4 linked regions of the Drosophila melanogaster genome follow. The protein of the gene in region 4 interacts with the protein of the main gene of each other region in a pairwise test. Each region holds a gene or a part of one and is shown on either strand. Other genes may lie near its edges. The genes, in order: CG16984, Lmx1a, CG34353 and spz3.

What was found.
Region 1: the proteins of spz3 (region 4) and CG16984 interact in a two-hybrid assay, tested with the Drosophila melanogaster proteins (one large-scale study listed by BioGRID).
Region 2: the proteins of spz3 (region 4) and Lmx1a interact in a two-hybrid assay, tested with the Drosophila melanogaster proteins (one large-scale study listed by BioGRID).
Region 3: the proteins of spz3 (region 4) and CG34353 interact in a two-hybrid assay, tested with the Drosophila melanogaster proteins (one large-scale study listed by BioGRID).

The regions. Positions count from the first base shown.
Region 1 is NT_037436.4:2,594,242-2,597,524, reverse strand, and holds CG16984 (uncharacterized protein), read right to left. Parts: upstream 1,745-3,283; 5' UTR 1,656-1,744; coding exon 1,550-1,655; exon of another isoform or gene 1,494-1,549; coding exon 676-1,493; 3' UTR 536-675; downstream 1-535. Other genes in the region: CG12182 (uncharacterized protein), read left to right, coding at 1-331, 383-535; dos (daughter of sevenless), read right to left, coding at 2,479-3,003, 3,060-3,283.
Region 2 is NT_037436.4:12,327,320-12,335,265, reverse strand, and holds the start of Lmx1a (LIM homeobox transcription factor 1 alpha), read right to left. Parts: upstream 6,035-7,946; 5' UTR 5,797-6,034; coding exon 5,013-5,796; intron 1,060-5,012; coding exon 181-1,059; intron 107-180; coding exon 1-106.
Region 3 is NT_033777.3:27,902,803-27,907,796, reverse strand, and holds the start of CG34353 (uncharacterized protein), read left to right. Parts: upstream 1-1,953; 5' UTR 1,954-2,826; intron 2,827-4,994.
Region 4 is NT_033779.5:7,873,517-7,881,276, reverse strand, and holds the start of spz3 (spatzle 3), read left to right. Parts: upstream 1-1,724; 5' UTR 1,725-2,130; coding exon 2,131-3,070; intron 3,071-5,112; coding exon 5,113-5,246; intron 5,247-5,939; coding exon 5,940-6,064; intron 6,065-6,765; coding exon 6,766-7,245; intron 7,246-7,315; coding exon 7,316-7,472; 3' UTR 7,473-7,760. UniProt on the Drosophila melanogaster protein: Neurotrophin which may function as a ligand to the Toll-related receptor Tollo. Involved in a Tollo and JNK signaling pathway that positively regulates neuromuscular junction (NMJ) growth in presynaptic motorneurons.

The sequences.
Region 1 (3,283 bases), on a different chromosome or scaffold from region 4:
AGTTCACATCCAAAAGTCCCGGGATGAACTGCAGCTGCTCCTTGCGATGCTGAATATCACACACATAAGACTGAGGCTCCAGTTTATTGGGTCATTAAGTAAGAGATCACCATTCCAGGAGCAGGCGATAAAATGTATGTTCGAGGAGGCCCACAGACTGATAAATAAACTCAATGACGACTTCACGGAAAACCATGCCCTAGGATCCACAGCAAGGACATTCGTTGAACAAATGGGCAACCATATTCAGCACTTGCACGAGATGCTAGGTATACCTGTGATATCTAATCCCCAGAAGCAACTTCATCGATGCAGTGTGTCCTTTGTGGAGGTAAGAATTCACTAGAATTCATTTTAAGACAAGACTACAGTATCCGTACAGATCTCCCTCAGCTTGGAGCGACGCTACTGCAGCCTCTGCAACCGCCAAATCCTATTCGAGCTGGACAATCTGCAAGAACTCTACGAGTCGGGGAGACATCTGACATGTCCCGTTTGCCATGGAAGCTTTGCCACGGAAATGTTTAATGCATAAACGTTAAATTTATTCTCAATCTTAATTACGAAGTGTTTTGTGTGTCCGCCTCTAAGAGCAAAGCAAGTGAATCCATGGAGACACCTCACTCGGCTTCCAGATGCCGACACACATGGTCAGAAAAGGTGTGTGTGTCATTGTTAGTACTCGGAAACATAGATAATGGGAGTGGTCTCGATTAGCAGAATGTCCTGCTCCACCTGGCGAAGATCGGACTCCAGCTTGCTTTTGCGCTGCCGCTTGGCGATGCTGTCGATAAGGAGCGACATCGACTGATACTGCTTGGTCATCTCGGTCAGGCTCAGTCGCAGTCCCTCGAGGATCTCATTTCGCTCGGCCTGCTCCATCACCCGCATACCCGGCATTGGCGGCGGACCACTTGATTGGACGGATGCCCTGGTGAAACCCTTGATACCGCGGCACAGCTCCAGCAAACGTGCCTGTTCCTTGGCACACACCGCATTCATGTCGGCCAACATCCTCTTGGTTTTCTTGAGGTAAACAGGCACCTTGCCGAAATCCTTGCGGCAGATAAACTGCGGTACCAATCCGGAATTGAGTAGATCGTGACGAGCTCCCACGGGAGTGTCTACATAACGAGGTGGCGGGGGACAGGGAACCGTTTGTCCGGCACATATCTTGTTGCGTTTGATGAAGTTAGGTACCATTGCCGGCTTTTTGCCGCCACTGCCCGGTGGTGGTAGTGGGGGCATTGGCGGCATCTTGGGACACTTGTGGGTGTTCTCTCGCCGCCATTTGATGCCCTGGCTCTTGCGCAAATAGGCGCACGGTGGGTCAATCGGAGTGTGAGCACAGCCCATGGTGCGGTGGGCTGATTTCTTGGCCTCTGTCAGGACGCGGGTTCCATCGTTCTGGAGGATAATCGATAGCTTCTTGTCCTCCTCGTTAAAGCGTTCGCGAAGTCTCTTGGCATACTTGGCTGCCCTCTCCACAACAGCTGCAAAATTGCTTAAAGTTAGGTGGGAGGTAACGATTTTTAGTACGAATCCCTACGATTTTTGTAGACAAAAATTGATTCCTTAGGTCCTTGGGCCTTCACAAAGTCCTGCTCGCACTCGAGAATATTCTCATCGTGATGGGTGATATAAACCAGGGACATTGTAATACAAATATGTAAGGATGAAGGTAGGGAACTCGAAAGCGTGCTAGTTTACTGACTATTCGTTTAATAATAACAGTCTGTTTGGTGGAGACTCCTGCGTTGCCAAGTACCTCTGCGTTGACTTGGATTGATTTAACTCGAAACAAAGGTTGCTATAGGATTTCCAGAATAAACAGAAGGCAACATCGTTTCCTGGTGATATTGTAATATTCAGATATTTTCTAGCAATCGGAATTCGATATTTGTTCTGGATCTTTTAGGAGAACACACAAAATTGGTATTATTGTATATATATTTTTTAAAGCACAAAATCAAGCTACAGCTTGTGTCGCACACGAGTTACATTATTAAATTGTAAATAATTTGTTACCATATAAAATTCGTGTATATAAATATTTCGCTTGCGTATATAAAATAATTGTTTGCATTGTAAAATTAGCACTAAGATCGTTTGTCATGGTTACATTTTGATTCCGAAGCTTAACAATAAACATGGAAGTGTTGGAAGCACGATTTAAATACGAATACGACATAGATTCAGATACGGGTTACAGATTACAGATTCAAAACAGCACACAGAAATGCTGGTGCCGTCTTACAAGCTAGATATGTGGTTTAATGAATAATGAATTTGACGATGTTAACGAATGTAAAAGCCACTCGAAATTTGCACTGTTTTTGGATGGGGTCAGCTCTCCTCAGCTGACCACCAATAGGCACTACGAAAATCTCGGATCAGCAACATGGTCCTTCCTTTGCTATTGCACGTTGACAAGTAGATGTACTGGAGATATGATTTCATTTAGCTGAACCAGCAGTTTCACTTGTTGCCGCTGCTCTCGCGCTCCTCTCGAATCCTCTTAAATGCCTCCGTCTTGACAAAGTCCACGGATCTATAGACCACGCTGCTAGGCACTGGCGCTCGAGCTCCGCCAGCTTCGACGCCTGCGAATCGCATTCCACTAGCTCCATTTCCGCCTTGTGAGTACAGATTCCCCACACTCATGCTGGATCGATTTAGCAATGGCGGTTTGTTGGTCACATCCAGATCAAAGTACTGCAGCTTGTGCTCAGTCTGCGCCGCCGCTTGCTGCTTGGGAGCAGCTGCTGCCGTCAAGCTCATCATGGCAGCCGCTGCGGAGGCGGTGCGCTGATGTTGTACCGACATGCTGCCGGGACTGTTCGGATGATGCCGATGCTGTTGGCGAGGCAGGGTGCGGGTCTCGTGAAAGAAGGCGTTGGCTGCCGCCGGGGAGTGTACATCCGTTTCATGCGGCAGCACCATTGAGAGAGGGGCACCGGAGGAACGTCGCGTTGCCGGCGACATGGTAGCCGAATTGCCCAACTAAAAAGAAGTCATTAGTAAATTGAATATGGGTGTGCACAACGTTTGTCACTCACCTTATAGGCATTCGGTTTGCACTTCCTGTCCACACTGGGCGGTCCAATGGGCTGCTGCAGTTGGGCTGCACCCAGTTTATTGGTTAACTGATCTACGCCCACCGGGGGCTTTGCAGGAAACTCCTCCGGCGGTTTGTCCTCTACAACTGGCAATCCACCCGCCACCTTTGGCTTAAGTTTCCGGTTAACCGGCGGGCAGTCCGCCTGCTCCATGAAGTCGTATC
Region 2 (7,946 bases), on a different chromosome or scaffold from region 4:
TTGTTCAGCGACAGCGAGTCCGCATCGTCATCCAACTGGTCAAAGTTGCTCCCATCCAGCGAGAGGTCCGAGCTGCAGAAGCTGTCATTCGAGTTGGCCGGATAGTCTGTTGAAAAGCAAGCCATTAGTACTTGTAGAATAATGCTTGGACGAAATCAAACTTCAAATCGAACCACTTACCATCCGGTGAGAAGGGCAAATTGGGATTCAGCGGCTGGCTGGCGAAAGTGCTGTCCAATCCACCCAAATAACCGGAGCTATCTCCTCCGAGCTCCTGCTTGACGCACTTGTCCTCCTTGTCATTGGTGTCCTTATCGTCGGTGGCGCTGGAATTGCCCGTGCCACGCCCACTGCCCGATCCTCCGCCGGAGCCACCATTCTGCTTGGCCTTGCGCTGAATCTTCTTCATCTTGGCGCGCTGATTTTGGAACCACACCTGCACTACACGAACCGATAGGCCGGTGTCCTTGGCCAGGGCTTCGCGCACTTTGCGACATGGTTTGGGTGACTGATCGAAGGAGGCCTTAAACTGTTTGCGCTGCTGCGATGTGAGGATGGTGCGTGGTCGTTTCGGACCTCTCCTTCCATCCCGTGGCCTCAGCAAATCCTCCTCGTCCAGGCCAACGAACCCACAGTGCTGAGCAGCAGCGGCTGCCAGAAACATCTCCTTCTCCAGATCGTGACGATAGCAGAAGAGCTGGCCATCGCGCAGCATGAACTGCTCGCCCTTCTGGAGCGGCAATCGGCAGGCGTAGCAAACGAAGCAGGGCAGGTGGAAGACAAAGTTCGGTATGGGTCGCATTACCAGCTCCTGCGGCAGGATCGCATGGCAGCAGGAGGAGCACTTCACACCGAACAGCCGGTCGTAGTCCATCTTGCAATAGAGTTTCGAGTTGCGCACGTAGCAGGTGTGGTGCAGCTGCATTCCGCAGTAGCAGCAGGCCAGGCACTGCTCGTGCCAGTTGGCATCGCCCACGTTCATCAGGAATCGGTCATGGATCTTCTGGCCACAGCCCTCGCACAGCTCGAAGTTCTTCTCGCACTTGATGTGGCCCACTTCTGGGGATGAAACAAGCAAAGATGGGGGAAAAAAGTCGCGTTAGTAAGTCGCAGAATACATTTCAAGTAACTAATACACTGAGGTTTAAAATATAATAAATATATCTATCTACATTAATAATCAATTTAATCGAATATTTAACCCATACTTGGAAAATATATATGAAACATTTTCTTGAGAACAGAAATATTTCAAAGAAGAATCCTAATACTTTAGTAATTTTGTTCCAGTGTAACTCCGCTTATTCGCCCTACTGTGATGGGCGTACGTGGCGTATACGTGATGGCGGCACATGTCGCTGCGAAATTATCATGACATGTGCTGCCAATGGAGCAAGGAGCGCGCTGACAATCGAATCGTGTGAAAATGCTTCAACGTCTCTCTTGTTTTTCCGTTCGCTGTTTCGCACTTTCGATGGAAAAACAGAAGGAAAACTCTTCGCTGGAAAAAATTATCTGTCGTCGGACTGCAACAGCTTGTATTGAAAGCTTATTGATGCGTAATTGAAACGTAAAGTTTTCCGTATTTGTTCGGTATTATTGAACAGCCCCCCATCTCGATTATCAATGTATATAAACATGCCAGAAAATGGCTCAATTGATATTGTATATACCACCGAACTTAAGCCAAAGCTTAACTCCTAAACAAAGTCCCTTAAAAAATGCTAATCTCCCATTGAGGAGCTACTGGATTTCAGCTCGCCTTACCCAAAGTAGAACGAACCTAATCCTCCCGTAGACGGAGCTCTTGAAACTGTAAACCAGTCATAAAAAGTAGTACCCGAAAAACACAACAAAAGCTGCATGCAGTAAACATAAAAAATATATGACGACCGCCACGAAAAATGTATGGAAGCATTTGAAAAATGAGCAGCGAGTTGGGAAAGTGCGGAGGGAAAGTGGAGAAAAAGTGCGGAGGGAAACTGGCAATGGAAGTGGAGTGTTATATTATATGGCTGTGGCTCAGTGGCAGAAAAATGTGCATGATTTATGGTTGGCACAATGGCCTCCCCACACACACAAACGCACACAGTCGCCATATCTACGCGAATGTGGCTGTATGGGTGATATATAGTCTGGGAATAGGGACGAAAATCCCTATGTAAGGGGGCGCTAAGCCAGTGCAGCGGAAAGTTGACAATGTCCTCGGGCATTTTCCTATTTTCCTTTTTTTTCTGTTTTTTGGCTTGCATTTCATCCTATTGTGCAGTATCCATATCCAATCGCATTGGCGATAAAGGTTTTTGCATGGGCCGAGCAAAAAATCAAGAATGATTCATTTGATAAACCCCAGAGGGGAGCTGCGTTTTGAGTTTGGCCTCATGTTTTTGTAGAGCTTTGAGCATCGATATTGTGACGGGATTTCGTTTGTGTAATCTAATCGAAATTTATGGCATTTTACTGCAGTTTTATGTATGCTTTTTTTCCGATTTCTCTGTATTGTTTTGGCCAACAAAGGACTCTGCATTGAGTGAGTGTGTGTTTTTGGGCTTGAATGGTAAAGCCTGGGCGAAACTTGTCCAAAAATCAACAAACAACAAGCGCAAACAGTCGGAACAAGTGCGGCACACTCATGTCAAATACATAGATTAAACAGCAGATAAATCCAAAATCAACTCGACGATAAACATAGAACTAATAGAGAAAAGTGTCCTCGTCGTTATCGCCGATAAAGGGGCTTATCTGCCCGAACGCCCCACGATTGTCGCACTATATGGTGCATTTATTGACACATTGACAGCGGGGCGGGGTTATATGGAGATAAATCGGCAGACAGCACCCAACTTCTGGCACTAATTCGGCCACTAACTGGAGTCCAGTCCACGTGCCACGCGGATTTTGGCAGCAGTTCATCGTTGACAGGCAGCTCATAATTCGACAGCTTTCATTTCGACTGACAAACAAACAGGGTCTTTAAAACTCTTCGTTGCTATCTACACCATGGAAATGGTATTAATCATAATATAAAATAATGAATAAAATAGGATGAACTTCAAAAACTACTCTTTTAAAATGTAAGATACAGATTTAATCAAATTACAAATAGGGATTGCAAAATATATTGACTTTTGCATTCTAAACTCAAATGTAGTACTCTTTGTGAGTTCCAGTGGATTTTCCGTATAGTTCTTGAATAGCAGTTTTGTTTCAGTGTAGCTGGATCTCAACGGAAAGTGACACAGAACTATGCGTATGGCGCATACTTCCGCCACACAAATGCACACCTACTGGCGATTGGGTGGGTGGGGTTTGTGGGTAGGACAGGAAGACGAAGCTGGAGCCACCGCAGAAGCCAAATATGTATGCTGATACGCTCGGTGGAATACCTGACACTGAGTGTGCTCATTTCCGTGGTCTGCCCCCGAGTGCACACCACCCCCAATGGCAGCCCATTCGAAATTCCTCGACCTCTGCAAAGTGTGGGCCACCGATAGTAGTTTAGCAGCCGGCATCCAAGTGTTTGCCGAGGAAAATGGAGCTTAGGATGAGAGGCGGGGAGTGGTGTGTGGATTGGGGTAGTGGCACGGAACGAGCGGAAACGGAAACTATTTGCTGCCATTTGGGCAATGGCAAATGGCAAATAGCAAATGGCAGAATGCGAGCATTAATAGAAATTTCATAGGCAAATGCAAAGTTGGCCGGCAAGAGAGCACAGCTATTGTGGGCGATTGAGTGGGCGGATGAGGGGCACTAAAAAACCGAAAACACAATCCACTTAGCCTCGGACGAGGTCTGGTCTGCATATGCATCACACACATTGTTTGCACACTTTGCATTTCGGAGGGAAATTCGCAAAAGTTTTCCCCAGCAACACTTTCGTTGCAACTCAGCTGAAAAGTGTTGCCTATTTTGAGGCTGTCATGCATGCGAGTGTGTGTGTATGTGTGCCTGCATGCCAAAGCATCAGTGTGTGTGTGTGTGTGTGTGTGGGAGGGAGGCAGTGTGTGGCATGCTTTAATAGCCTTTTATTGGTCGAGCCACGCCTCTTTTTGGCCGTGCCGGGCGGATGTCAGACAGGTTCATTGTCAAAATTATTTTGTGGTCAACTTGCGTTCATACTTTTGGAAATACTTTCGCCATGCTTGCCGCACATCCGCCCACTGAACTATCCACAACATGTGTGCGCCATCACAACTACAAATTCATAATTTATTGTCCTCTGTCAATATATATGTACGTGTTAGCCGGAAATTGTGCATTTGCTTTTGCCTGTTTTTACATAAGTGGACAATCTGCCTCTGGCTATTTCACTTGCTAAAAAGTAAATCCAACTCTTTGAAAGCTGAGTTGCAATTAAGTTCCAAGTTAAACATGGATTTATGCTAATATTGATACAATAATAATTAACAAAACCTATGATATATCTAACCAAATTGACTTTACTTGCATTCTGCAAACTAAAAGCAAACTAGTAACAAATAAGAACATTCTTATTTAATGTTTTTTAAATTATTATTTACTTTTGATTTTAGGCTAATTAATATGAAGAATACTTTTCTCTTATATTATTTTAATGTTATGAATATATACGCTAATTTTTACTGCAATCAATAAATGCTGAAATATTCCGCTTAAAGAAAAGTTTCAGGAGTAAACACCTTTTGAAATAAGCACTTCAACTTTATTCGCAAGAAAAAACAACGAATATCTATATATTTTCCCCTAGAGAAGCATTCCTTGGGCCCCAAAAAGCCGAGCACATCGCACGCAAACTGCCGGCATACTCAGGTGTGGGTGGTTGTACACAATCTGGAGCCTCGTCCGACCAGCTTGGAACTCACGCAGCGCAGCACCGAACCTGGACACGGATACGGATGCTGATGCGGATACAGAAACGGACCCGCAGGCCGGGCACACGCAAGTATGCCAAAAACGAAAAGCGTGAAAACCCCAGAAGAGGAACGAGCCGGTAAATTGCTCGACTGCCGGTGCAAAATACTTTTGGAACATACCTGTGCGTCCGCTGCAATCGGCAGACAATTTGGATGCCGCTGCTGCCGATGCCGTTGCTGCACCACCTCCATTCCCATTTCCATTCCCGTTTCCATTGCCATTGCCATTTCCGTTTCCGTTGCCACTGCCATTTGCATTTCCGCTTCCTGTGGCCGCTGGGCCCGTCGATGTGGGTGTCGTCGCAGCGGCAGCCGCCGCAGCAGCAGCAGCAATCGCCGCAGCAACTGCTCCGCCTAATTGCGAGGTGGCTACTGAGGTGCCTGCTGGCGATGGAGCTGCCACAGCAGCGGCAGAGGCAGCGGCAACAGCAGCAGCTGTTAATGTGTTGCAGGCTGAGTGGAGGTTGTTGCTGCTGCTGCCCCCGTTGTTGTTGTTGTTGTTATTGTTGTGGTTGCTGTTGCTGCTGCTGCTGCTGAGGGGGCTGTGTCCTGTGGGCGTGGGGCAGCTGTTAATTGGCACTGGCGTGGTCGAGGCAGCGTGTTGCTGCTGGTGTTGCTGATGTTGCTGGTGGGGGTGTTGCTGCTGCTGCTGATGTTGCTGCTGCTGGTGCTGCTGATGCTGCCCCGTTAATGAAGCCGTTGCCGTGGGACTATTGTTGCCGGAAATGCTTGTTGGCAGATTGTTGTTGCTATTGCTAAGATGCAGGGAGTTGCCGCTGCTGGCAGTCATGCTGCCGGGATTTGGATTGTCCAGGAATCGCGCGCCGCCATGATTCTGCTGCAGCGAGTACAAACTGCCACCGACTGGATTCAGATTCGTGGGCATTGGGTAGAACTCCAGCATCGTATACGAGTTGCCACAAAACACCGCTGTTACTTTTTTAGTTTCGAGTCTACGAAAATGTCACATGCAACACCGCACAAGGAACACGCGACACACAAACAAGACGCTCGATTGCTTTTGCTTTAACTTTAACTACGCTTCTGTTCAGTTTCGTTTAGAATATGATTTCGGTGGCCTATTCTTGCGCTGCCGAATGCGAGGACAACCAGCCGCGTTCGCTGTCAGTTGGCGTGTGATCGAACCATCAGCGAAATCAAAGCATTTCACTTTGCCCTCACAAAAAAAAAAAAAAATCCCAGCTGAAACGTACCCCCGCGCACTGCGCCTGCGCCTGTTTACAAAAGCAACGGAGCGACGGAGCAACGGAGCTGCGGAGCAACAACTGCCGCTTGGCCTGCGGCAACAACAGCAGCTCTTCGTGTTGCACGTGATGCCAGGGGTTGTATCGGTGCAAGGGTTGCAGCAACCCCCTCTCTGCCCCGGCAGTGCGCATGTCTCAAGTGATTATTAGCAGCGAGGGAAATTCTGGCAGAGAGCAAGTCCCTCGCAAATCGCTGGCCACACCTCAGCCTCGCTGCGATTGGCTGGCCATTTCCCCGGCGTCCATTTTGCCGCACGGCGCATGTGCGCAGGGGAAGTGCGGGTTTTCTTTTCTTTTGTTTTTTTTTATATTTGGTTTTCTCATATTCGTAGATGTCTTGGCTTTAATGCAAGACCAAGTCGGCTTGTGGGCGGCCATCGGTGGGCGTGCGGCAGCTGCATGTTGCTGGTTGTTGCTGGTGTTGCTGCCGCTGCTGCTGCTGCTGATGGGGCACAAAGACATACTTGCACTTGCACTCGCGGCAACTTTGGCGAGTTTGCCGCTCGACGGCGACAATTTCCTTGAGTTGTTGCTGCTGCTGCTGTTGGCTCTTTGAGTGGCACGACTGGACCAGAATGCCAGCAACAACAAAGGCAACAAACACAGCAGTGGCAGCAGTAGAGGCAGAAAAAAACAATGGCCTTGTCTTCTTTTACGCTTTTTTGCACTTGCATTTTACTTTTTGCGGGTGAAAAAAGTTGGCGATAAACAAGATGGGAACGGGTGCTTCTCAATACATTGGGCAGGTTATTTAAGGACCTAATGTCTCACAACAAAAGTTTTTTGAAATTCTTAAAGGATTCTTAAAATTTAAATGAACTAGTTTTGAATTCTGGATAATGATTTCCATACATTTTATTCCATTAATGTTATTATGTCTACTGTAAAAGTGAAGATTAAGTCTGTGACTATAGTATTATTAAAGAACTTAGTAAAACTGAAGTATAATCTCTTTATAATTGATTCAAGACATTATTTATTGTAGTTACTCAAAGAGAAAAGATGTTTATTTATTTCTTTTCAAAATCAATCTTTTTTAAGCAGTTTTCAAAGTTGTAAGACTTCATAAAAATAAGTTTCTTTTATGAAATTACATTTATAGAATTCTTATTCCGATAATATCTTTAAATTAAATAAAAGTTGCTTTTAAGCAAGATTTAAGATTTATTAAGTTTTCAATGCTCATACCCCTCTAATTTCCAGCGATTTAAAGCGGAAGTGGCAATGTCACCCTGTATGAGCATCAAAAGCCCACCGACAACTGGGAGGCAGCCCCATTTCCGGCGCCCCCAAAGAGGCCGAAACCCAACTATCCGCCCCCGCAAACACGCACACACTGAAGCACAGATACTATCACCGAGGATGAGAAAGGATGAAGGAAAAGAGAAACCCGAGCGGCAAGAAGAAAAGCGGAAGCTGGAAAGACAAACCAAACATGGTGCTGTGCATAAAAGTTTGGCGCTACTTCTGGAGTCGAAGCTCGAATTCTTGGCCCCCTTTTGGGCCACCACACCATCGCCTGGCAGTAACTTGATGTTTGGGCCTCGGCTTAAGACTAGGCTTTGGCTCAGCGGGCTGCCGACCGGCGTGGAAGTTGTGAACCAAGGAGTCGCCTACGCTGGATATGTGCTCCGTAGCTTAGCATGGATACCTGGGGAAGCAGACGCAGGGGGAGCAGCCGTTGGTTGCCAGTTGGCCAAGTGGGAGACTTTTCACCAAACTTGTTGGCATCGAGCAGCGGCACTTGTACAAGGAATCGGCATTGCTTGCTGCTTTTTCGCCCTGTTTT
Region 3 (4,994 bases), on a different chromosome or scaffold from region 4:
CACCGATGACCTGTCAAAAGCTATGAAAATAAATAAAATAAAATATATCTCTAGTACCTTGTTTAAGGACTAAGGACCTCTTTACAATAGCAAAGCAATCTTATGTTTGATGGCACAAACTATACAATCGTATTTTTGCGTAGTTTCTCTTTTCCCAATTTATACATTCCACTTAAAAAATACGTTTTTATTCTTATTTTGCTAAATCAAATTATAGTGCATATCTGACAATTTTGCTCTCTGCAGCGATTGAGACAACAAACGACAAAGCAGCGATGGCACGATGCGTATTTAGAATGATTTTGCCCGTGGGTTGCATGGGATGTGGTTTGCTTTTTCCACTGGTCCATGTCCCGTGTCCCGTGTCCCGGGACATGTCCAATGTACATCTCGATGGCATTCCGGCGCACTCGTCATTGGGGCGAAAAACAGAGGACTTTGCACGCCATTGAGCTGACGGCACTCCGGCGGAAGAAGGAAAAAAGGACGAAAGGCACACTTGCAAATCATAAAACAACAGACGCGAAGAAAATGTTTTTTAAATCTTCATAAATATTCATTATGGGAGCGGGGCATGGCAAATAGTTTGGGGCTGTCGGCGATGCTGGGAAACTGGGCCTGGACACTGGCCAGTCCTGGCGAGTCCTGGCGAGTCCTGCGACTCCTGGATAAACAAGGAGCTGGTAACCATTGGCACTCTGAAGCCGGCTAGTGGGCGGTAAGCTTCATTTCGCAGATGGCAGTACAAGAAGTTTGCCAGAAAACAAAAACAGAAATGGCCAAAATAACAATAAACTGGCTCGAGGAGCCTAAGTAAGAAAAGAAAATGAATTGGGGGCGCATTTCAAGTGTGTGTCGGCCTTGAAGCGTGAAGATGTGGCCCAAAACCGAGTCGAAGTTCATGTCCATGGCCAAAATGGCCAAAATGGGCAGAATGGCCAATGGAACGAGACGAGCAGCAGAAAAAAAGCAAACAACTATAAATAACACAGAACTCCGATGGACAGAAGGACGCACCACAAAGCTGTCAATTAGCAGAGTTTCTTACTTAATTTTGGAATTTTCAAATATTTGGGGGAAACAAGAAGTCCAAAATAAACATCATGGCGTGGTGAAGTTTTGAGGGTTTTGGAAGATGTTACCAGATGTAACACTACATATTTGTACACTAGGTTGCTGCTCAAAGTAATGAAAAGATAAACATTGTTCGTTTATGCCAATTGGTTTTGTTTATATTATAAAAATATTCTTATATTTTCTTTAAAGAAAACTTTAAAATATTAGAGTTATAAAAATATAGTTAACCAAACAGTTCGAGCTAAGAGAAAATATCCCTTTTTTATCAAGAGAACATTTCCCACTTAAAGTAAAGCTGCAGAAAGCTTTAAGCTTTCGTATCCTTAGATGCGATTTGAAAGCGGTATCTCATTTAAAATTAGGTTAACTAAAATGAACACAGTTAAAGACATTAAAGGATATCATAAATATTAAAATTGCTATGCATGAAAAAAAAACTTATAAAATAAATGCATACACCTGCATTATTATTTTAAACATAAGTAGTTCATTTTGTTAAAAACTGAAATAAAATATCTTACAAATGCTTAAAACTGGAACATAAGTACTACTATTCCTACTATCTCGCCGCGAATGGGTTCCATAAGCCGCCCACTATATTCTCTCTTTAGTTCTGCGGCGAGAAATTTTCTCTTCGCTTGTGGCACACATTCATTGCGATTGCGGCTGTCGAACGGCAGCAAACAAAAAGAGCAACAGCAACAACCACACGCGCCAGAAGAGGCTCTAATACCAATTACATTGTGCGGGTCGTTCGTAAACTCCCCCCTTCCCATCCTGTCGTGCTCGCTCGGCTAACTGTTGAATCAACGAGTGGTTGCCGACGTGCCATTCGTCCGTACTCGTGCGACCTACGACGAACGAATCGTACGGTCTTCAGTCCTATTCGAAACGCGATAGCAAACGGTTGTGTGCTCTCGTCCCACTGCCACCGAAAAAAAGGTGTTTAAATTGAATCTGCACAAGTTTAAGTCGAAAATCGAACTCGCGGTACTTTATAATTAATAGTGAATTGAATTGAAGTCACTGAGGAAACCGCTAGAGAGAAATCAACTCTAAAATACTTTGAAACAGAAGTGTTAGTAAAGTGAAAGTAAACAACTATCATTCTGAAACCAAACCAAACCTTCCGTAAGTTTTCGGGCTTTTTAAACCGGCAAACCAAATCGCGGTTCGGGATTTCGGTTATAAAAACTGCTCCTCTCGCGTCGTCCCTTTACCGTTTTTTGGCACCTACGCGCGCTCTCTCGCTTCGCCAAAAATTTTCCGCTCTCTCGCGAAATACCGTTGGGCCTACACCGCTGGGCAAGATTCTAGCACCATCAAACTGGCGCATACACATTGCCATAAATTGTGATTAACCACAACGCAACCGAAAGCGACAGCAAGACGAAGATTTTTAATTAAATTAAGAGTGAAAAATACCAGCAGCCGCAACAACGGCACCAAACGTAAACAATCAGCGCCGGCAAATTAAATATTTAAATATTTGCACTCGGAAAATTGTGCGGCATTTTAAATTAGGACTCCCAGGCGGTGCAGCATCGCTGGGCATACTAAAGTGACATATCCCGTGCTCCAGTGATCCCCAAACATAAGCAAACGCCATAGACGGTGTGTGTGCCAAGCCAAAACACAGCCATTAATAAAGCGAGGAAAGGCAAATAAACAATCGGGTCAAAGTGCTTAGTCAGGCTAAAAGAGCCAAAAATCCGACAGGAAACAATAATCCGGAAATTTTGGTGCGAGGTAAGTCCCCTTCACCTGTTGAAAGTGGAGTCATCCTTAATACAATTATTCATATGCACATCCGCATACATAGAGCGCTGCATTGACGAGTGGCATTAAGAAAAATAAGGCAATTGCACAATTTAATTGGAGTCATTGTTTTTGTTTCGCCGCTCTGGCTGCATTTTAAATGCCTGTGCTGCAATCATTCAGCTGCATAATTAATATAAAATAAAGCTATACGATTGCCTTTTTTTTTGTTTGCTTGTATTCCTTGTCGCTGCTTTATTGTTTGTATTTTTTAACAATTAATTAAAAATATGTATGATGTGTTTTCGCACTTCAATTGGCTGCGAGAATTCTATTTTATTTCGTTTTGTTTGCCAGTTTATCATTTTTTCCACCCATAAATCGCCGTTTTGCCATAGGCTTTGGCCATGGCCAATTGCAAATTGCAAAAGGTTTGAAACATTGTAAAAATGCAGTTTATATAGAAAACAATTATGCGCCAGTTGCAAAAACACCGAGCGGATCTGATTGAAATGGCATAAATCCAAAAGGAAAACCAAATCTCTCGATGTGACAATCACAGTTCGTTTACTCGCATAATATGCCAGTCGAGCTTAATCGATTGATATCCGTATAAATTATGAATGCTTGCTGATCATTTTGCGGTGGTAGGGCACATTGTTTTTTAAATCTGCTTTGAAATTCAATTGAAAAAAAAATGCATTAAAACTCATCATTGTCAATCCTATTTAAATGGGATTAACTTTGCCTAATACAATTGTCCAAAAGGACAAATTCATAAATAGCTGCAAATAGTTGAATACTACATATAAACATTCTCTATTTTGTATAAAACCTGGTTAGACTTTAGTAGAATTGTAGTTATATTGATTTAAACCTTAAAGTTTTAAAGTCCCTTCCCAATTTCCCGATTTCATTCGAAATGTACTCAATAATTTACGACGTAACACAATATTTTCCAGCAAGAAAGGGCTGAGGCCAAAGAAACAATTTCGATATTTACATACATGAAAAACCGTGGTGAAAATGGGGTTTCAAAATAAACGCATGCATATCGTATATGTATCTTTTCACACGGTGCAATATATAAATGTGTATATGGGCAACTTTAATTTCCGTTTAATACTGCGGGCAGCCGCCGAAGCTTAAAAATGAAAGACATATCAATAAATAAGTGCGTCCAGCCCGCGGAGGAAAATCGAGGAGCCAATATCCCAGAACATTTTCCACAAAAACACACACACGCACTGGAGAACTCACACGCACACACACTGGCATAAATAAGTCAGCGCACATAATGGTTAAATAATTAAAGACACACGAAAGCCACAGCAATCACATGGCATAATAGTTAAAGACATTCATATTTATATTTATTGAGCTGCATTCATCGGTTGGTCGAGTTCGACAGCCATTATTCAGAGCTGCCAGGACTCGCAGGATCCCCAGGATCCAGTATTCTGTATTCGGTATCCATGCCTGACCATTCGCCATTAATTGTATCATGGCCCACAAAATGCAATTTAATTCAAGAGCCAGCTACTCTATTAAGTTCCAATTGTTATTCAAAATTCCAAACGCCAACTAGCGCATACCTCATGTTTATGGGGGCGTGGCAGGTCCTGTTGTGGTAATTGTTTTAAAGCATTCGTACATAAATTTGGCTAATTAAACAGGACCGCACTGGACGCGCACACAAATACATACACACACACACACACACACGGGAATATATTCCATAATAATGGAATAATGTAAATAGTAGCCTCGACCGACCACAAACAACTAGCCAGCATTATGGGCCATCTGGAATGTCCTGGCAGGTTCCGTGCGCGTATGCATATGGTCGGTTGTATTGGCCACGTCGATGGCAATAATAACAAAGCATAATTCATAACAATAAAACGAGGCATACACGCACTGACTGCAATTGGCTTTAATTCAATTGCCCGTGCATCGATTGGTTCTTGCTTATTACCTGATTTCGAGTCCATAGCCCTATGCCATGCATTCGATCTCGTCCTTGTGCCGTTCCATCTTCAATTGCTGGCATATCGAAATTGATAAATGCCGAGCTCGGAACGTTTTAGTTTAGTGCGCCACACTGGAATTCATAATTAATTACCAACATTTAATTGCAAATTGTATTTGCCGGATGA
Region 4 (7,760 bases):
TGTTACAGTTTAAGTGACTTATTTGCATGTAAGAATGCGAAAAAGGAAAAGTGGCTCAAGACACCGCGTGTGACCCTGAAAAGGGGACCAGGGCAAGAGAATCACCCACAGGCCAAGTATATTACCGCATATCCTACATCAGAAAAATTCCCCACTCGTAACTGATTCATCCATCAAACAGGAGACACCATTAAAGGGCGTTTTTCCCAGAAAAAATCATGTCCAAGATAAGATCATAGCACGTTGAGGCTGTTTTATCCATTAGTTGCATCCGTTTCCGGCTGTCTAGATGCTGGGAGCTCCAATTCGCGAGGTGCTAATATGCAAAGTGGACGCATTGATCCGAGATCTATGACGTTGACACGACCACACCTCCATCGCTTAGATGAAATATACACCGAGTCATTCATTCATAGCATCATCGCCGCCATCCATTTGCTCATCGCCCGATGCACTCGACACATTTCAAATTACCGCCGCATAACCCCGTTGCTTCTGCCCTGTGGCCACTGGCCACTGTTTCACCTGGCTAAGAGAGTGTAATATAACCGCAGAGACATGGTCATGGAGATGGGGAGAACCCTACGGAGGGTCTCCCACCAGCCACTCTCTTTGGATGGCAGTCATGTGTGTAACAAATCGACCCGCGATGCTCTTCACAACCAGTTTTGAAAGCCCACTTTAAATATACTTTTGCTTTTCATTGCCTTCGATGAGAAATAAAACAGCGCAGACGTCGTATTCGGTTTGGTTACTGTGATTAATATGCGTTTCTCGGCAAAAGCCACTAAAATGTATATCAGCCCATGACGACGCATCCAGGCATTGACCTAGGTCACTAATGCCAGCTAAACGGGGTTCTCATTAACATCAACCTAATCCCACTTTGAGGGATGCCGTCGGCACCTGTCGAAGAAGATTCCCCCGGTGAAGGTATAGGAAAGGTATACTCAAAATTGTATTTGGCTCCAATCCAGAATTGGATTGATTTCAGAAGTGCACGTAACTTAATTAGTATGCGATTTCCTTTAATTAAGTCACTTCAAAGGAAATTCAGCGCATAAAGTTAAGCGATTTAAAAATCCAAACCAGCTTTTAACTATGCCAGAAGATAAACCCCTTTTCTTAATTAAAACATTAAGCCAAATATAATAAAACACCTTAATGCTGATATGCGGTAACTGTCAACAACTTTAGGTTCACTTTTAAAACCCCTCAGATGATTAAAGTAAATTATTTAAATTTATTGGGTTAGTCCATCAATCATCAACAAAACATTAATATTATGTGATCTATATTATAACTATTCTGCTAATACATTATAGTAATAGTAATGAAAAAATTCGCTTAAACATATTGCTAATAGTGATTCACTAAAATTTATTAGAAACCATAATTAATAGAGAACTTTTCTGTATAACTTGAAAATATGTCAGTTTTTTAATATTTTTGTTTATTTATCTCCGCCTCTAAGAGCATTTGCTCTTCGATTGGCTCAGTATCGAATATTTTCCGGTTTTGTTTTATTTTTCGATTTGCCATTCAGCAGAAACCGAAAAACGAAAGATAAAAACGCAACTCAGTTCGCCGAGCGTTCGCTCTTAGCCAGATTCCGAGATTGAGGGAGCTGAGCGCAATGTTTCAAGTCGGAGATTTTGAGATTTCGAGAGTTGAAACATTTTCCACCCATTAAGTTTGTTTTTAAGGCGCACGGCGAGAACGGCTCAGTCTCGATTGTCAGCTTGTCGTGAATGGTTTTTTAGCACACACGCGGACCGGGGACCGAAGCAAAAAGTTCGCGCTTAAGTTATTTAATAACAACAACATCGTTTGCACATACCTTAATATCGCCATATATATATATAAACGACATAGCCCGCCGATCGACGCGTATGTGTGTGTGTTAATATTCTGTGTTTGCCAGTGTGTGTTTGCCATTGTTGCCAGGGGTGGGAAGCGGGAGCTGATCTGACTGATTTGTTATTTTTGCATAAATCAATTTCGAGAGCGCGCGCCATCGATTTCCGTGCGCTGATCTGTTCTAAATGATGTCGCATGCGCGTCCGGATCGAGTTTGTCGCTTAAGTCTTTCGTTTGCCAACTGAGAGCGCTAGCATATTTCGCACGCCCATGGCTCTGACCAATTTCTCGCTGCCCTTCGGTGCCCTGGGCCAGCCCTGGGGAGTCACCATAGCTCCCCTGCATCCAATCCACCAGTTGGCCAGCAACACAAATAATCTGCTCTACTCGCCAGCTGACCACCAGCAGCAGACTCCCGCGGAGGCAGCCGCCGATCCGGAGTACTTCAAGAACAATCCCTATGCGCCGCCGCAATCGGGTGGTTATCAATATCAAAATACAGCTGGACGACGCAAGCAGAGTAACGCCTATTTGCCACCGACAGCGCCGAATGCTGTCCGGAATTCCGTTTACCACATCCAGCAGGTACAGCAGACGCAGCAGCAGCAAACGCAACAACAACACCAGCAGCAGGATCAGCATGAGAACAGCGTGTCCTTCCAGAGCAGCAGTTCCAGATCAAGTTCGAGCAGCACCACGGGCCAAAGTTCCATCCAGCTGACACAGACTCATGCGAGTGGCCGGGGACCGGCGGAGGGTTCGTACTCCCGTTATCCCGGACAGCAAGCACAGCCGCCGCAGCAGCAGCAACCGCAACAGAAGCAATATTTCAATGCACACGGCAGTGCCAGTGCCACTTTTACTAAGAACAGCGGCAGCTTTAGTATTACCAGCTTTGGCAGCAGGCAGCAGCAGCAGCAGCCACCGCAGCCGCAACAACCACCGCCATCGCAACAGCAGCAACCACCACCTGCACCACCGCCCCAAAGGTCCAGGCAGGCCAAGCCGGAGGCTCAACCAGCTCAGACATACGGAGTTGCCCCGCCGGAGAATTATCCGGAACGAGCACCAGGATTTACACGGGTTCAGGCTGGTCAGGGATCCAGGACTCAGGTACACGCCGTTCTAGACTACGACGTGGAGGAGGGTGAGGAGGATGAGGAGGAGGACGGAGAGGAGGAAGGACAGTTCTACGAAGGCCAAGAGAATGGTGAGTACCCAACTGGATATTTTACTATAAGGTGAAACAAACTAAGGAATTAGAATTTAAAAGAACGAGGTCAGATTTATAATAAAATAGTATACTATTAAATGATTAATTTATCGAAAGGATTTATATGAATTTGCATAACAGCACAGGAAGCTGAGTTCTAAGCTTAAGGAGTGCATTATTTTTAAAATTCTATATGCCAACTTGTTAACCAAGAAACACTTCCAATTGGAATGCCTAACTACCCCACGAATAAGTGACTCAAGCAGACGTTAATTAAATGTATTTAAGTGCATAATAATGTGACAGTATGATCTATGTAGAACTTTGGTTGAAGAGGCCGAGAATCACTTCCTCATTCATCCAAAAGAAATTCTCCGGACTTTGTCGTATCACTCTTCTGAGTACATTCCAGTTCGAGTGTTTCCTGATTCACGGAGATGGCAATCTTAACAATTAACAATTAAAAACGAACCAAATGTTGGTGGCTTAAATTGTTTGCTTTTAGTCAAGTCATATGTGTAGTGTGAATTTAGAGCATGTATGTAGATTCACAGAGATAAGCGGCATAGAGTCCCACGTTTGCACACGATTCGAAAGACGGGCGCTGAAAGTCATGTTAATTTCTGTGGTTTCGCCTGCTACTTGTTTTTGTGTATCTTTCCAATTGAGAGCAACTTCTGCACAAGATCGCCGAGCAACTATAACAAATAACAAACCTGTGGGGTAAACAGCGCACAAGCAACGAGCGGCGACAAGGTCAAAGGTCTACAAACCGATCGGCAAGGTCACTTTCAAGACAGTAATGGCCAGTGTTTGAATTTTATAGCAACTAACAGGCTGGCACGCATCACGATTTATGTTGTGCCGGGGTGTATCTGTATCTAAGACCGTCTATCTAACGGCTCAAGTATCTACGTATCTTCGTATCTGAATCTGCTGCCCTTGTTGTCCTCTTGGAAAACTGTCAGCGGCGCTTCACTTTTTCGGATGTTTCACTTTCGGTCTAGCTTGTGGCGCCTCTTTGTTTCTGCCTCTCCATCTCCATCTCAATCTGAATCTCAATCTGCGAGTTGTCGAGGCATTAGCCAGCCAGCAACCTGCCAGACTTGAGACCTCAAGTACTCAACTCGGTTACGGGGCTATTATGCAAGAAGTCGCGTTTCAATCTCCCGAAATGAGGGGCAAGGGGCCGAGCTCATGAACCAGCTCTCATATGAAGACGTGCGCACGCAAGACCAAAACTCAGATACTAGTTTGGGTCGCTCGATGTCTTGGCGCGGCACTCAAGTACTCAACACTGGGTTTTCACCTTTGTGCAGGCAGAAAAATATCATAAAAGATGCGATCTGAACCAAAGATCAGTGCACAGAAACAAAGAATCTATTTCACAACCTGCCAAAGAATATATCTCATTAGCTGAAAGTGACATGAGATCTGAACACTGCGAGAAAAAAGTATAGAAATCAAGAAAAACGTCATAACATAATAACTAGGATATTTCTTAAATATTATTTTAAATCTGACAAATTTGTTTGGTAAGACATTTTTCCGGTGAGAGCTATAAATTACCTAAATAATTCAAAAGTCATAGCATAATAATAAGGAAACCACTTGTCTAGAACCCTTCAATTCCATTACATTTAGTTTAAGTAACATTTTGAGGAAATAAGTTTTTGCACTGTATGCTCCCTTTTTTGGATTCTGCAACCCGTTTTGCATCCTGCAGTATGGCTATAAAAGGGAAAGTTTCTGTCTGCGCCCAGATCCGGATCTGGGCATTACAAATGCCAGGCAGACATGAAATTTATACATGCAAGTGTCAACTGCAGTGCGATTTGTATGCAGACACCGAGTGCACTTGCAGTTGCAATGGCAGCTCTTTTTGGGTTTAACCGGGCTGATTAATGCAGTGACAACGGCCACGGATACAGCAATTCCCCCGTCCTTGCCATGAATCACCGCCGAAACAGCAGCCATTTAAAAGCACTCCAATTTCCATTTTCACTTCATTTTCGAATCCATTTACATTCCGTTCACAGATAAGTCGAATAACAATCAGATGCCCACAGTGACGCCCATCCAGGGACCGATTTACTTGAAGAACGGGACGGTTCCAGTGGTGCCGCTCTTCTCCTATCCGAAACTCAACAACGGATCGTTCCTACAGATTCCGGTAAGTACGGATCGATAGGTTCGCCGGCATGAGGTTCTAAGCCCGCGCGCACTTTAATTGACACACTGCGGAAAATATAGATCGCAAATAAAAGTAGGAGTCAAAAATCATTTATGAATTTTAAGTAACAAGCAGGCATCACCTATTCTTCCCATTTCTGTTTATATTGAAAATAATAAAAATTTGATTTGGTCTTCGGTGAGTTCTAGTTTTCCCGATTTCCTACAGTGTACTCTCGATATCGATCGAGTTTGTTCATTTGCGGAAATAACTTTGACGATTTTGTGTTTCATTTCGGTTTTATTTTCCTTTTTTTTTTGTTTTTTTGCGCACGAAGGTCGTGCGAGTTCGTTTCATTAAGAGGTGTGATGATGTTGATGACGACGAAAGAAGAGAGAGATTGATATTGAAAATCTTCGCATGGCGACTCGAGTAGGCTTAATCCCAAAATCCAACTCTAAACTGCACCGCCCGCCACGGCTACACCCTTCATATCTTCTTATTTTCGAATATAAAACGAACTTTTATGTTTATGACTTACTTGAGTCATTTTCACACCCCGGCCATAATTTGTTATGGTCGCCATTCCAATCTGAGGCTCAGTACCCCGCCGAAACTCAATTGCCGTCTTCAATGCTAAATAGTTAATACTTATCGCCCGGACTGACCATCGTATATCTCTGGTTAATTTAGATCTGGTGGACGGCTTTGTCGGTGGCTTTGGGACTGGATGTGCGCGGCGATGTCATCAAGGGAGTGCCGTGCATCAAGCGATATCATCAACTGTTTTGCCCCACGGCCGGCAATAGTTATCCCATGTAAGTAACCATTGTTCTCTATTTTTGGGCTGCGGGAAATCCCGAGTGGAAATGGTATATTGGTATTTCCCTTGGAACAGTCGTATAACTTTAACTCTCTTGATTAAGTCAAGGATGTTTGCATTTCTGTGGGTTTCTTCTACCAGTTTTTTTTCCCAATGAAACTGATCTGAATCACATTTAATCCGGATGACTGTTCTAAAATCACATAGTTAACTGTTCTCATTAGCATAGAAACGTAAAATTACCATGAATTTCATCACTAGGCTTAAAGCAAATCCAAAAAGTGTGACTTTCAACGATATTCATTCCAAAGTTCATTAACATTGGGTCCCAACATTTTGCGCTAAGAAGATATTAATTTCTTTTAATTAATAATATCATTTTCTTAATTAAAGATAAATTTTAATTACTATTTACCGTGGGTTTTGACCTCATTTCATCTGCTTTACGGACCCTCTCAAATCAATTAATTTTTCTCAAATGAGTATTTATGATCAATCTTTTTAGTGAATCACCTGATTTGGCAAAGTATTTTGTATTTTAATTTTAAATACGGTCACTTCCTTTGTTATTATAAAAATAAATTCATTAAATACGTCATTTTACGGCGTACACCTGGAAGAAATAAATAACATTAAGTTCTTTTAAATACTTAATCAATTATTTTATACAAAGCTAAACTACCTGCTTATTTTTAGTGACAAGATTGAACGTTTCATAGACGACAACAAGGCCCTGATGCGACGGATGTACGGCGACTTTGAGATGAACATGGAGGGTCCTGGCGGAGGAGGTGGCAGACAACAAGGCAAGGTGCGAAAGCGTCGCTTCATAGACGAGCCGGATATATTCATACCCCCGGGAGCATTTGCTGCCAATGCCGGGGAGACCGTCGAAGCCGGAGATAGTTACTTTGGCCAACTCCGGAAAAAGCGCCAAGCTGCCGCCGGAGGAAGTCGAAATAGAGGCGGATCTGCCGGAGGAAGTGGCAATGGGAACACGAATGCCAATAGGCAACCGGGAAATAAGAATGGTAGTTCGGGCACTGGAAGACTCGATGCCTGCGAGTCGAAGATTGAAATTGTCACACCGTACTGGGCATCGAACTCCGCGGGTAAGATCAGAGCCATCGTAAATACTCAGCATTTCGAGCAGGCGATTCACCAGGAGGTTTGCAGGTTAGTACACTGTTAACTAAATAGTAAACAAAACGAATAATGAAATGATTTTTTTTTTTACTATTTGTAGCAATACCCAAACTCCAAGATGTGAGGGCGAGTGTGGATGCGAGCAGAAATACAAATGGCATAGATTACTCGCCTACGATCCTGATAACGATTGCAAGGGCATTTTTATGGATTGGTTCCTGTTTCCTTCGTGCTGTGTCTGTAGATGTAATCCCTAGATTACCTGACTCTGAGCAATTAATACATAAACAATTGATAAATGTAATTGAGACAAGTAATTGTAGGTAGAATGCCACTGAATGTATTTTAGTTGTTGTTAAGTAGACCTTACGTAAGCCCTAATCGGTAGCTCTAATTATGAACAATTCTACACATAGTTAAGATTTTATCCGAGCCATATGTATATCTCCACTATTCTCTATATCCCCTCCATCAACATGCGATATTACTCAGCCTCCATTTTTATTGTACGGTAATTATAAACGTAATTGTAAAACGATTCAAGT